Stegostoma tigrinum: one gene and its partner. Each later gene encodes a partner of the first gene's protein in a complex. Links are inferred from orthologs where the notes say so. Each region holds a gene or a part of one and is shown in the gene's direction. Other genes may lie near its edges.

Region 1 (7,387 bases):
CTTCCAAAATGTCCCCTGTTAGTATAGCTGTGACATTCTCCTTAATCAATAATTATTCCTTTTAGATCCTTCTCCAGCTCTCCAAATGTACCCAAATCCTGGAATGTTGAGCTGCTAGTCCTGCCCTTCTCCCAGCCAAATTTCTGCAATGGCTACCACAACGTAGTCTCATATATTAATCCGAGGTCTAAGCTCATCTGCCTTACATATTATACTCCTTGCATTAAAAGTAAACACAACTCCTGACTGCCAGTCCTGCTGTATTCATTAACTTAGCCCTGTCTCTTCTCTCATTAGACTTATTTCATTTAATGTTGACCTTCTCCTCTATTTTTTCACATTCTAACCCACTACTGTTTCCCCCACCAACCTAAGACTGACAATTGAAGATAAGGTATTATGTAAAATCACGTATGTTAAGTTTTTCTAAGTTTTGCTTAAAATTACTTACAGAATTCACAATTTTAAAAATCTGTTCAGACCAAAGCATACTTGATTCGCATATTGTACTCAAATATAACTGTGTCAAATTAATTCAGGGGTTAACTATTGACAAGGTTGAAAAATTGGTTGGGAATAGGTACTCAAACTGGCAGCATGTGACCAATGGTGTCCCACAAGGATCTGTGTTCAGTGTCAATTCTTCACATTATTTATTAACAACTTGGATAATGGCAAAGAAAGTCATACATACAAATGTGCTGACCACACAAAGTTAGGTGATATTACAAAGGAACTTTGATAAACTAGGTGACTGAGAAAAACTGTGGTAGATGATGTTCAAAGTATGCAAGTTTGAGGTTACGCATTTTGGACCAAAAAAGAATAGATCAGGGTACTTTGAAGATGATATGAAGTTAAATAGAGTGGAGGTTCAAAGAGACTTAGGGTTTAGGTGCATAGCTCTTCACAGTGCCACAAAATGCACAGAAAATAATCAAAAAACAAAAATCGAATGGAATGCTGGCCTCCAAATTTAGTGGAGTGGAGTATAAGAATGCCAACATTATCCTGCACTTGTACAAAACCCTGGTTAGACCTCATTTGAGGTCCTGACAGCAGACCCAGGATCTTCTACTTAGGAAGAATATATTGCCCTTGGAAGGAGTACAGTGTAGGTTTAGGTGGCAGACTTACTTGCCAAGCTGGTGGTTTAGTTTGTAAACGTTTCACCAGCCTGCTAGGTAACATTTTCTGTCTGCCACTGGTGAAGTATTAGTGTTCTGTCCCACTTGTTACACATGTGCCTCGGTTTGCTGGGGTTGTTGGCATTACTTCCAGTTCTGTTTTTCAGCAGTTCGTATGTGTTTGTTGATGGAGTTTCGGTTGGAATGCCAGGCCGCCCTGGTATGTCTGTTTGGCTCGTGTTATTATGGACATGTTGTCCCAGTTGAATTTGTATCCTTCTTTGTCAGTGTGTATTGAAACCAGTAAGAATTGATTGCGTCTCTTGGTGGCTAGTTGGTGTCCGTGTTTCCTTATTGTCAGTTTTCTTCCGGTTTGGCCTGTGTACTGTTTTTCAAAGTTGTTGCATGGTATTTTGTATATGATGTTAGTTTTATTGTTTGAGGGTATGGGATCCTTTACATTATCAGTAGCTGTCGCAGAGTGGTTGTTGGCTTGTGAGCTATCCTGATACCTAGGCATCTGAGTAGTCTTGTGGTTATCTCTGATGTACAGTAGAATGGTTTGTGTGCCTGGCGGTGTTGTATCTTTTTGTTGTGGTCTGTCATGGAGGTAATGGTGGATTGTGCTTTTTGGGTATCCATTCCTTTTAAAAACTCTGTATAAGCACTCCTGTTCTGCATTGCTCAATTCTGGATTGCTGCAGTGTATTGTGATCTGTTTGAATAATGTCCTGCTGCAGTTCTGTTTATGGCTGTTGGGGTGGTTACTGGAGTAATTGAGTATCCGGTCCGTATGTGTGGTCTTTCTGTATATACTGTCTAGGAAGGGTAGTCAGTTATTGTTCCCTCCTTGTTTTGTGAATTTTATTCTGGTGAGGATCTTGGCTAGATGTCAGTGAGTTTTTTTTAGTCTTGTGCATTTGATAATCATGAAAGACTGAAGATGTTGGGACTGTTCTCCACACATAGATGAAGACTTAGAGGGGATTTTATAGAGGTTTTCAAGATCATGAGTGAGCTGGACAGAGTAGACAGGGAGAAACTTACTCTCATAAAAGGAACTAGAAGAAGAGAGCATAGATTTTATGTGATCTGCAAAATAAGCAAAGATGAAAAGAGGAAAACTTTTTTTTCCACTCACTGAGTCAATGGTATGGAAAATTTGGAAGTGTCATGGAGGCAGGTTCAATTGAATTATTCAGGAAGGCATTGGATGATTATTTGGATAAATATAATGTGCAATGGTGAGGGGGAAAAGCAGGAGATTGGAACTAGGTGACGATGTTCATTTAACAAGATACTGCAGGTACTCCCTCCTTCCACACCATAACACTTCTGTAGTTCTGTTATAACATTATTAGAAGCTTATGAAAAAGAAACAAATAGGACAGCCTTATTAAAAGTAATTCCGCAAATTATTATTTTATTATTTAGTACCTATTACAACACAAAATCTTCAGCATCTTATATGGCAAACAGATTTATTTAAATATTCTTCTATTATTAGTGCAATCAGACATACAATCGCTTTCACATTTAACAGGAGGTTCATACAGAAATATTTTGATACCCCAGGACTGTGCTAGTCACTGGACTTGAAACGCTAACCTTGCTGTCTCTCCACAGATACTGCCAGATTTTGATGCCCAGCATCCACAGTTTTCTGTAACTTATTAATTGCCCATTCTACAGTAAATTATTAAAAGATTGTCAGACTGCTTTGAATGCTGGGACAGTCCAACATCCACTGTTTATTTCGCCAGGAAAGCAAACTACAACTCTCAGGCAAGGTCAACAAATAAAGTTTATATTTCAAGAAGGATAGCACAATGCATAGCTGGTACTTAAACATATATCTCTAAATTGCTAAACTGTTCCTGTCATATGAGTAGACAACTCTAATCAGAAACACAGGTGGATGAATCGAGGTGCAACGAAACAATTCTCTGACCTGCAAACCTAAAAATGACATGTATGCAATAAATTAAATCACAAGGAGGAATATTTGTCGTAACATTCCAACGTATCAGCTGAAGGCTACATATTTACAAAAGGCAGGAATATACCTCGTCCAATAATTGATTTTAGAAGACCCTGAAGGGGCTGTCAAGAAGGGGTGACTCAGAACGTATAAGCTTTCTGGGCCCAGAGAAGAGAGACACAAGGTGCCAGACATAATTTTAGCAAAATCAAAACCACACATTGCGAACTTGGTGATAACTGATAATCAGTGACAGGTAACAATATGAAAAAGTACTTACTCTTACCTTGGATATTACGAGCACCTGATTTACCAACTTAAACATCTGTGGCGTTGATCATTCCTCAGCTCTGCAGTCCCTTCAACAACAATCAAGCCTATTGGTGCAGAGCGCTTTACGAACAACTAGATTCTCCGCCCTCCTCCAACAATGATTGGTTAGTCTTTACAGAATCTGTTTATCTGTGTACGGCGATCAATCTCATGTCTGTGATAATAGGAACTGCAGATACTGGAGAATCCAAGATAATAAAGTGTGAAGCTGGATGAACACAGCAGGCCAAGCAGCATCTCAGGTGTTCCTGAGATGCTGCTTGGCCTGCTGTGTTCATCCAGCTTCACACTTTATTAAACTCATGTCTGTATTTGAACTGCTCATCTTGAAAAGGGGGCGGAAGGGAATTCAACATCCCGCCTTATATGAGATGTAATTGGCTGAGGTGGGACAAAGCACGCCGAACTACCTCTGATTGCTTTTCATGCACGTCAATCATCACCGACGGCACCCAACCTGATGACGACTGGCTATTCACGCTGCCAATTATAGCGGCTTTCAATCTATTGGGCATCATCTCTGTCAGTCATTGCTTTCGCGATCGTGATTGCTGGAATGCCGCGGTAAGGGGGCGTTTCTGGGGTGGTGGTGTTGTGCTATTCGATGTGAGGGAGAGCGTGCGGTTTCGTCGACTGTTCACCACAGGAGGAGGAGGAGGAGGAGAAGGAGAGGAAGGTGCGGGCGCAGAAGCGGTCTTGTTAGCTGTGATTTGAAGCTTTCTGTTTTTTTAAAGCCACTATTTGAATTATAAGAGATTCCCCTACTCCCTTCCGCCTTTAATTGAATATACTTCAGGTCGCGATCTTCCCTTCCCTTCCCCCAACCCCTTCCTCTAGGCACATTAATCCGGGGAGAAGTGAGTGGCTTGAGGACAAACTCTGCAGCAGGTCTGTTTTTCCTCAGGAAAGGAGGTGTAATAAACCCTTTCAGATAAATCCTTTTTAGAAGAGGGTGGGGGAATAAAATAGGTTCTCGTTTGCTGCAATTTTTCTTTTTGTAGCGTTTTTGCCTCTCTTGTTCCCCTCCGTTACACGAGGTGGGGAAACGAAGTGGAAGATTTTTATCTCTCTTTTCACGCGCCCCCCCCCCCGCATTAGTATTTCAAAAACACCGTTAAGTCAGGCCGAAAGGAGCAGCAACACCACAGAAAGGAAGAGGCGGGCAACGCTTTCGGCTGTTTGTTCTGGTGGAAGAAACGTTTTTTTTCGCGATGAGTGGTCTAGTAGAACTTAAACAAAAGGTGTTGTAATTAATCTGTCTGGGACGCCCTCCCCGGTTCGAGAAGGAAACCTCTCCTAAACTGGGAGAGCCGATCTAAGGTATGCCATGAACAATGCCATCAAGCCCATTTCTTCCAATTTCGTGTGATGATTTTCGAGAATGGCCGAATTATGTCTTGAACGTTTATTTTGTTATTTTCATTTCGAGATGATAGCATCTGGCTGTTTATATTAGTGGATTGCATTAATTTCCAGCTACCTGTTACGGATCCCTATTTTTGCCAATGATTTTCAAGAACGCGAACGAGGACAAAAAGAGGAGAAAGAGCTCCTGTTGTGGAGCACAAATAGGTTGAGTCCGAATCATGTGAAACTTGATCATTCACAATTATATATCTTTTAACCATCTTTGCTTTTCTCTATTTTGCACTTTGGACGGCTGTTCAAATGTATTTAGCTTGAGGATGTTGTCGAAATCTGCAAGGCGAAATTATGCTGTGATATGTTGAGTTTGAATTATTTGGGAGTGCAGTCAAACCAGTTTTTAGGAGTCATTTTAATCTTGCCAAAATGTGCTTGCTTATTCTGCGGTGGTAAGGTGTGATTTCTAATTTGATACTACGACATTGGAGGAAATTCGTTAGCGTTGAAGATACAACAAATGGTTCGCTGGCGACCCGTGCATTTCTAGCCGTCTGGTGACCTGTCGTGGTTTGATTTTTCTCTACGGAGTTATGAACTGAGGAGTTTGTGGTCTAAGTTTTCGTGTGCTGACTTTAAATGTCAGTGGTAATTATTTTGGCAAAGAAGTAACATTGAAATTAACACGATTGTAATAAATCTAATTTTGCGACAACTCGTGGGATCGATTTTAAGATTTAATCTTTTTTGGGGAATACTGTCTTGCAGTTCTTTTGTACCGTGTTTAATTCTAGAAATGTGGTTATGTAAGAACGTGGACTGTCATGCTTTACGTTATTTACAACTTTCAATGAAAACGGACTCCGCCTCTGTTATTTACATCATGCAGTTTGGACTGAGAACATGTTTTGTTGATCTTGGCAGGTGGACACTTTGCAGACGTGAAGAGGTAGAATGTCATTCCGTTGCAACACGGACACGTATAGGAATTATGGAACGCAGGACAGAGAATGTCTGGTTTCAGCGTTTTTGCGTGGGGAAAGTGATTTGTATTATTTATTTCCGGGCCGTAAACCTTGTTCAAACAACAAGGTGTGGAGCTGGATGAGCACAGCAGGCCAAGCAGCATCTTAGGAGCACAAAACCTTGTGCGAATGTCTGGTTCAGCGTCAGAAGTTTATTTGATGTTCTTGGGAAGCACCGAGACTGCTTTTTGCTAAGTCCGAGTGCTATACTAATGCAATTATTGTCGAATTCATTGAAATCCTAGTCTTTCCTAATAGTCACGTCCTTAACGATTTTAGGATGTCCTGTATTATTGTGATGCCAACAAAATATTTTTGAAATGTAGTCACCAAGTGAATGCGTCAACAAGTTGACTGCACGATGGTACGATCGGCAGCGATGCAATGGGCAATTTAAATCGGTTTGTTTGAGTAACAAATGTAATGTAGCGTACAAAGGAAACTCCGCACTCTGGTCCCACCGGATTTTGTTCCAGACATTTTCTTAAAAAAAAGTCAGGTCCTCAGGTCGAAAAAAAAGCCATATCCTAGCTCGACTTTTCCAGCACTGCACTGACGTGTTGGCCAGGATTTTGTACTTTAAAAAAGTTAATTGGCAGTTGAACATACAACCGTTTGACTTTGACATGAGTGCAACCAGGGGTTTAGAAATTTGGGAGGCACAAAGTTGGCAATCTTGAGGCCTGAGATCAGATTCGATCATGCTCGTTGCTTTTCATGCCGAAGGTATAGGAGGAAGAACTCCCCTTTTGATGTATTTAGAAATGCACTTGTGATACCAAGGCATAGGAGGATATGGGCCATGTGCTGGAAAATGGGATTAGAATAGTTGTGGTTATTTTTGACTGCTGTGGATGAGATGGGCCAAAGGGCCTCTTTCCACACCACAGCTGTCTGACCCAATGAGTTAGGTGGGAGCACTTCAGTCTTTCAAAACTTAGGGTTTCTGTCATTCTCAGAATATTTGTGAAATACTGCAAGTTGTCTTGTTTATCCACACTAGAGTAAATGGCTGTTAGAACAGCCTTATTGATGAAAAGCAGGATGCAAGAACAATTCTAGTTTGTCGTGATAAATTGCTTAATTATCTGCTTTTTAATCTCTAGACTCAACTGTCTGTTTTACCACTGTTCTTGGAAAATGTTGTTTCATTCAACTGAGATTAGCAACATGTAAATGATTTCTACCTGAAGTTTTCAGACTTGTTCAAGACAAATGTGTTCAGATGATTTGCTATTTCTGTACCTTGGGGCCAATGTATCATCCATTTGTAGTGATAGGCTCAGACAAAATTCTTAATTTTCAAGTAGAAATGGTAGTGGTTGCATTGAAAAGCAAATCCACTTGGCTTCCTTAGACGTGGTGTGTACAGCATTGTTGAAAGTGCACCTGTTATTTGTTGATTGGGTTGTATGAGGAGCTCAAGTTGGTTAAACTTTCTCCCTCTTTTTTTATTTGAAAAGTTTGTCTCTCTCTTTGTGCTATTTTTACTGCATAATAACACTGGCTGGTATTGGGAATTAATTTGGGGGAAGCTCTGTATGATCCTGTACTGTTAG
Region 2 (7,620 bases), on another chromosome or scaffold:
GAACTGGATACATTTATCAATTTTGCTTCCAATCTCTGTTTCAATTTCTGGGGACAGGCTGGCCGTTGACATCCATTACAAACCCAACAACTCTCAGAGTCAGCTTGCCTATATTTCCTCATAGGCTACTTCCAGTAAGGACTCCATACCAGATCCTTCACCTCCTTTGCATCTGTTTTGACATAGCCACCTTCTGTGGTGGGCGGGGTGGTGCGGGGATCTCAGAAATGTCTACTTTTTTCCTCAACCAAAGATTCACAGCTACTGTGGTTGACAGAGCCATATTTGACCCACTTCCTGCATGTCTACCTTTTCCGCTTGTCTTCCCAGCTACAACAATGAGGGGGTCCACCTGGTCCTCATTTACTACTCCACCAGCTACTGGATCCAAAGGATTAAGCTGCCATTTCTGACACCTCTAATGGGATGCCATGACCAGATACATATTACCGTCCCCTGCCTCATCAGTATCCTGTGGGGGCCATTCCCTCCGGGATACTCTGGTTCACTCTTTCTCCATTCCCAGCATCTCCTCACATCCCCACAGCATCTTTCCATGCAATTGCAGAAGGTGTAATACCTGCCCATTTACCTTGTCCCTCCTCGCTATCCAAGGTCCCAGACATATCGTCCAGGTGAAGCAGCCAATTACCTGTACCTCATTAAACTCATCTATTGTATTTGTTGATCACAGTGTGGTCTCCTCTACACTGGGGAGCCAAAACATACACTAGGTGACCACTTTGCAAAACACCTATGTTCTGTCTGCAAAAATGACCCTGAGCTTCCAGTTACCTGCCGTTTTAACACACCATTATGTTCCCAGGCCAACATTTTTGTCGCAGGCCTGCTGCAGTGTTCCAATAAGCTTCAGCGCAAGCCCAAAGAACACCTAATTTTCCACTTGGGCACCCTGCAGCCTCTAGTATTCAACATCAAGTTCGATAACTTTACAGCCTGATTCCATCCTTCCTTTTTATTTTACCCACCCCCACCTGGTACTATTACGACATGGGTTGCCTTTAGCGCATTCATCCATTCTCCCCTTCTCCTAGGCCTACTATCACATTATAGGGGTTGCTTTCAGTATAATTCACCCTTTCTCACCTACATTTAGCTCTTATCACACCAGACCGTTAATGTGGGAGGTTAGGATGCACTTCTATACATAAAAGGTGGTAGATATTCAGAACTGGCTTCCACAAATGGCAGTGTATGCAGGACCATTTGTTAATTTTAAATCTGCGATAAATTTTTGTTAAGCGAATATATTAATGAATATGAGCCAAAGGCAGGTATAGAGAGTTAGGCCACAGATCAGCCATGATCTCACTGAATGGTGGAACAGGCTCGAGGGGTAGAATGGCCTACTCCTGCTCCAAATAGACCATCATCTTACTTTCGGTGGTGGGGAAAATTGTAGAAACAATTATTCAGGTTGGTATTAATTGTCACATGGTAAAATATGGGTTAATTTGGAGGAGTCAGCATACAGTTGTCAAGGAAATTTTGTGTTTAACTAACTTGCTGGAGTTTTTTTGAAGCGGTAATGGAGAAGATTGGTGAGGGTCATGCTGTTGATATTGCAAACATGGATTTCCAAAAGGCATTTGATACAGTGTCACACGACAGACTGGGAAGAAAAGTAATGACCCAATGGAATAAAAGGGACAGTAGCAAATGAGTACAAAATTAGAACACAGAACATAGAACATAGAACAGTACAGCACAGAACAGGCCCTTCAGCCCACGATGTTGTGCCGACCATTGATCCTCACGTAAGCACCCTCAAATTTCTGTGACCATATGCATGTCCAGCAGTCTCTTAAATGTCCCCAGCTAAGAGATAGGAAACAGAGTAATGGTTAATGGATAACTTTCAGTTTAGAAGGTGGATTGTGGTGGAGTTCCGAAGGGGTTAGTATTAAATGCCTTGTGATTTGTATAAATTATCTAGGTCTTCATGTGCAGAGGACAATTTCAAAGTTAGTGGACAATACAAAACTTGGGAGAATTGTGAACTGTGAGGAAGATGACGTCGAACTTCAAAAGGACATTAAGAAGTTGGTGCAGGGGATGGATAAGTGGCAGATGCAGTTCAATGCAGAGAAGTGTGATGCAATACATTTTTCTACAAAGAAGTGGAAGAGGTACAAAAAAAAGGAGTAATACTCCAAAGGGTGTGCAGGAGCAGACAGACCTGGTGTATTTTTGCTTAGGCCTTTAGAGGGATGGAGAGCAGTTAATAAAGCATACTGTGTTTTAGGCTTCATTAATAGCAGCACAAGGCACAAGAGAGGTTATGCTGAATTTATACAAGGCACCAGTTCAATCTTAGCAGGAGTACTGTTCATAGTTTTGGGTTCACACTTTAAAAAGGGTGTCGATGCACTGGAGAGTATACAGAGAGATGTACGTGAATTATTCCAGAGATGAGAGACTTCAGTTATGGAGAAGTTGGGACTGTTTTCTCGGAGAGAGGCAGAGATTTGAAAGAAGTTTTTAAAATCATGAGGGGTTTTGACAGAAAATAGGGAGAAACTATTCCCCCTCATAAGAGAATGGAGAGCCAAATGGCAGAGATTTAAAGTGGTTTGCAAAAGAAGTAAATGCTAGGTGAAAAATATTTTTTCACACAGTGAGCAATTAGAATCTGGAATACACTGCCTGGAAGTGTGGTGGAGGGAGTTCAATTCAGCCATTCAAGAAGGTATTTATGATTATTTAAATAGAAACAACATGTAGGCTATGGGGATAACATAGGAACTTGGCAGTGAGTCAAAATGCAGAGAGTCAATGCAGACACAATGGGCCAAGTGGCCTCCTCTGCACCAGAACAAATTTATGATTTTGTGATGTGAAGGCACAAGAGAGATGCAGAAAATATTTATTTGCAATAACTGTTCCCAGGAGGATAAACTTCATTTAAGAGGATTGATTGGAGAAGCTGGGACTCTTCTCCTTAGAGGAGGTTGAAAGAAGATTTTATAGAAATATTCAAAATCATTGCTGCACAAGAGAAGATGGGGGAAATTGTTCTCATTGAAGAAAGCGTAAGAACTAGAAGACACTTATTTGAGATGGTTGGCAAAACAAACAATGGCAATGTGAGGAATTGGGATTGTTAAATCAAAGAATAAGCATCGAGTCCAGCCATGATCTCTCAGAATGGCATAAGTCAGTGGTCTGAATGACCTATTTTGCTTCTATTTCTTGTATTCTCAGTGTTTACAAAAAGCATTGAAAGGTTTTACTACAGCTGATCTGGTACCTTCCCCAGTACAAATTTGCAATAACTGAGTTTATTTGTTCCAGGATCTGAATCTATGTCCACTCTATAAACAATGTGATGGTGGCACTCTTTTAATGGAACGTCTTCTTGGACATCCCAAAGAAGCAAAATTGTGTTAGTAGTTGGACAAGTGAAATATTTTGATGCAACATAAGTTACTCTATTGAATATTACAACAGATGTTCAAGATGACAGTTCCTACCCTCAGTCGTCAGAATTTTTGTGGTTGTATTATATTACTTGTGTTGCTCCAAAAATAACCTTTGAGTTCCTGACATTGACGTTTTGGGCTTTAGGACACGAGTTTTGTAGGGGTCTGCCACCGGAAAGAAAACGATTGAAAATCACTTACAGAAAGCAAAGGGACACATAACTTTTCGATACATACTAAATGTCACTCTTACAAAGTGGCGACTGGCAAATTAACTGTCACTTGTTTTATTCAGGACATAATACATCTTATTAATGACAACAAACAGGTTCTCTTCTAAACGTTTAAGACGGAACTGCCTGCCACTCTCCTTTAAATGTTCCACGTTATTGCCAGTCAGGCTTAAATTTAAAAAGAACTATCAGTATGAAACAGTGACAATGTTTAAATTGGTCTTACTGTTCGATGGTTGTTCCACTCTTGTACAGGCCATGTACAGTTTCATTGGGGGGGCGGGGGGAGATATCGGGAGGGAAGGGGTGGAGAACAGCTCGATCTTCAAATCTGACAAAACGTGAGGTATATGTAAAAAAAATCACTCGACGGGCAAATGCCTCCTCATTTCGCATGTACTATTGTCGTGGTGCCCTCCGGGAGTTGTAGTTTTACATTGCCCCAATTGTTATCATAAAAACTGGAGACGGCAAGTATATGAGACTACATTTCCCAGGGAGCAGGATGGTGCGGATCAGTGTTGGGAAAGGCGGTGGGCGGGAGGATGAACGCGCAGGCCTGTGGGTAACAGGAGGGTAAAGATGTCGGACGATGAGAGCCAGGAACAGACCATCGCCGAGGACTTGGTGGTCACCAAGTACAAAATGGGTGGAGACATCGCTAACCGTGAGTATGGGGGTCTCTAAGATAGACTGGGAGGCAAGCGACGCTGGGATGGTGGACCCTACAACAGGATCGGGCCTTGTGAGCGCGGTGTTGCCATGTGGGCGCATGGAGAACGGGGAGGCCGCGGCAACAGTAGCTCTGGTTCGAGTTGGCTCGGCTCGTCCAGATGGTACCCCAATCTGTCCACTGCGGCAGAGTGAAACGCGGCGTCTCTTCCCCCACCTGCATCTCCCCAAAACCATCAATCACACTCTGCCCGACCATGAGGAGAAGGGGCTTAAAAAGCCTGAATCTGGCGCCTTATGGCAGCGGCCAGCGTGGTCCTCTGTTCCCTTCCTTAAGAGTGAAACATGCCTTTTTTTTGAAGGGGAATTTTGGAAACGTTAGTTTCTCGAGTTGGTTGATTTTACATCTCAATCTCAATCACAATACAAAATCAGAATACCACAAATGCTGGAAATCTAAGCACTTAAAAACAAAAAAAAATGTTGCAAGTGGTCGGAATTCAAACTTTTAAAGTGGATTTTGTAAAGGGAAAAAAGGAGTTAGCGTTTTAGGTTTGAACGCAGTTCTGATGAATTGATTTGAAACATTAACTGTCTATCTTCCCAGAAGTTACTTCCTCCGTTTTTCCCAGGAATCTTCCGTTTTATTTCTTTCGTGATTTGATCACATTTTTGAAATATTTTTGTTTCTAAGATTTTTATTTTAAGTTCAGAGCTAGGGTGTGCAATTTTAAAGTACCTTGACCCTTTTCCCCTCCGTGTCTCTTGTTTCCTGAAGGCACTGATAACCCCATGCTTGTCTGTGAGCGGTCTTGGGATATTTGACCACATGGTCATCACGTGTGCCCTTTGCGCAAGTGTCTCCATACAAGACCTACAATTAACCTGTATGGTGAATGCTGCTGCGATCAGTTAACATGAATATTTAATTCATCTGTGACCTTCCAAAAAATACTTTTTGTTTATAAATATGCATTATGTGCTAAGGATAAATTTTAAGCTTCCGTATGACTGGTTCTGTAAATTGCATTTCTTCAAAATTTAAAAGGAAACTGGTTTAAGCTGTGTATGGAGCACTTTCAGCAAACTGCTCCAAAAATAATTTATCCAGCAGTCTAATGTTAAGTTGCACCTGTATATCCCACATTGGGAGATAGGAAGTGGCTGTATGGAATCACAGAATTGTAACCTCAATGATTGAACCTGCAGAATAAGTTTTAACAGTTGATCCTGGTTCAAATTTGGTGTAACTGCTAACTTTATAACCCAGATTTGAATTCTAAAGTAATGAATCCTGTATGGTACTGTGAATTCTTAGAGTCATGTTTTGTATGATGTGCCAAAGTTTGTTTTTTTTAAAAATTATTTATGTTATGCTCTAAACAGCATCACAGGCTTGAAATTTGTATCCAAGCTGTAATTCTGTTTAGCATTCCATTGTCTTTAAAATGGTATTTTCATCCTGGCTAGGTATAAAGTTGGAGGTTCTAGGTCATGGAACTGTACAACAGTAACATCCAGCATTTTTCTGAATGCAACAGATTATTGTCTATTAAAAAAAGTGAGATTTCAACGCATTTTGTTCAGATTATTGCAAATTGCCTTCTGGGGATGTACTTCCTTCAATTGCTCTCCTCTGTTTATAATGTTTGCACCCTAATCCATGTGGTAAAATTACAGGTTCAAGAGTTATGGGGATAAGGCAGAAACAGGATACTGATTGTGGATGATCAGCCATGATCATAATGAATGGTGGTGCTGGCTCAAAGGGCCGAATGGCCTACTCTTGCACCTGTTGTCTATTGTTATTTTATCGGTCTGTGGTCCTCCACTTGTGAAAAGATAGCCAAATTTAGCTATGTGTAAGCAGTAAGTTCATTGATGTTGCAGCATCTGATCTAAGGAGTGCCAATATACAAGTGACTTTGTAGACTCCACGGGTCTCTGGCTTGATACTTGGTTTGTGTGGTGCAGAATGTGCACAGAGGTTTTGAAGGGGTCCACAAATGTCTTTGTTCTTTGAAAGAAAGTTGCTCAGTACTCTTTTATCCATTGACTCTCTTGTTGGAAGCATCTATGCATGGATTTTTATAACCAGGACCAGATTGGCTTCATTTGTACAGAGCTCTGCTCACTCATCACTCTTCACTATCATGCAAAGATGGGTCAAATTGGCTTATCATTATCAGAGGTGTGTGAATAATGGCTATTTGACCAAAGTGTCATAAAATATTCTTGGAATTCTAGTCCAGCAGCTTTCATGCGAAGATGGTGTGGGAAGTAAAAAAAGTTAACTTAAATTAACACAGGACAGCTCCCTTGATTACTGAATTAGTAATTGTTTACTGTGATATACAGATCAGAAGGTTCTTAACTTCATTCTTGATCGTGTACTTGTTAACTGATCTTGTTGTGACACCGGTCAGTGAAGTGCCTGAGTTCTTGTGTAGAAAAGCAGCCTATTTCTATTTTTCATTTAATTGTTTTCTGTTTGGTGCTGGTGTCTGTGCCTGAATGCCAGGTAAAGTTAGATTTGACCATAGCTGGCAGTTGGTCAGTGCCCACTGTTTAGGGTTATGTGAAGCGATCACTTGAAGGTAGTGGAAAGCTGCCAGTACTTGAACAAAATGCAACCTGGCAGGAGGGGGGCCTAATTGGCGAAATGTGCCTGGTAATTGAGCAGCTGTTTACAGTGTGGAAACTGAACATTATATTCTGCTGATTTAATGTGCGTGCCAAGCTTGTTCCAAAACTTTTATAGTTGAAGCTAAAATTACTCAACGTGCTCCCTCTGCTTATCTTTTCTGCATAGCAATTATTTATCTAGTTGGCTGAAGTTGCTTTGGGGTGAAATTTATTTTGGGATAAATGTTCTAACAATTGGAGATTAACGTGTTAGAATCTATTGTTACATACAGGTGTTCAGTTGAGCTTGTGGTTTCCAAATATCTCAAAACTAGTTTTCTTTTCAGATATAAGGCTAAATGGATTAGCCCTGGGAAATGCAGGGTTGGGAGGGGTAGTGTGGACTGGATGGGCTTAATGGCTTGTTTCTACACTGGGGATGCTATGATTCAAAATATACATGTTCTTTCGAATAGAACTGAGGTTGTGTCGCAGGATCTATGTGGTTTGAGAGTGAAAGTTTGGTGCAGGTGTTAGATTGGTGTCCCTTTTGATTCAGGTAACATCCCATCAAGGCATTTTAAAATAAGACAAACGTTCTTTGTGCTAATTATCAGTAGTTTTGTCAAGATTTACTTTTGACTCAA

The links.
Region 2: arvcfb (region 1) and pa2g4a share a complex: the UniProt entries of both Homo sapiens proteins name them as parts of the ribonucleoprotein complex. The link is inferred for Stegostoma tigrinum from reciprocal best matches to the Homo sapiens genes ARVCF and PA2G4.

What each region holds. Positions count from the first base shown.
Region 1 is NC_081379.1:6,035,184-6,042,570, forward strand, and holds the start of arvcfb (ARVCF delta catenin family member b), read left to right. Parts: upstream 1-4,069; 5' UTR 4,070-4,117; intron 4,118-4,128; exon of another isoform or gene 4,129-4,761; intron 4,762-5,727; exon of another isoform or gene 5,728-5,752; intron 5,753-7,387. UniProt on the Homo sapiens protein: Contributes to the regulation of alternative splicing of pre-mRNAs.
Region 2 is NC_081404.1:11,536,384-11,544,003, forward strand, and holds the start of pa2g4a (proliferation-associated protein 2G4a), read left to right. Parts: upstream 1-4,212; 5' UTR 4,213-4,258; coding exon 4,259-4,343; intron 4,344-7,620. UniProt on the Homo sapiens protein: May play a role in a ERBB3-regulated signal transduction pathway. Seems be involved in growth regulation. Acts a corepressor of the androgen receptor (AR) and is regulated by the ERBB3 ligand neuregulin-1/heregulin (HRG).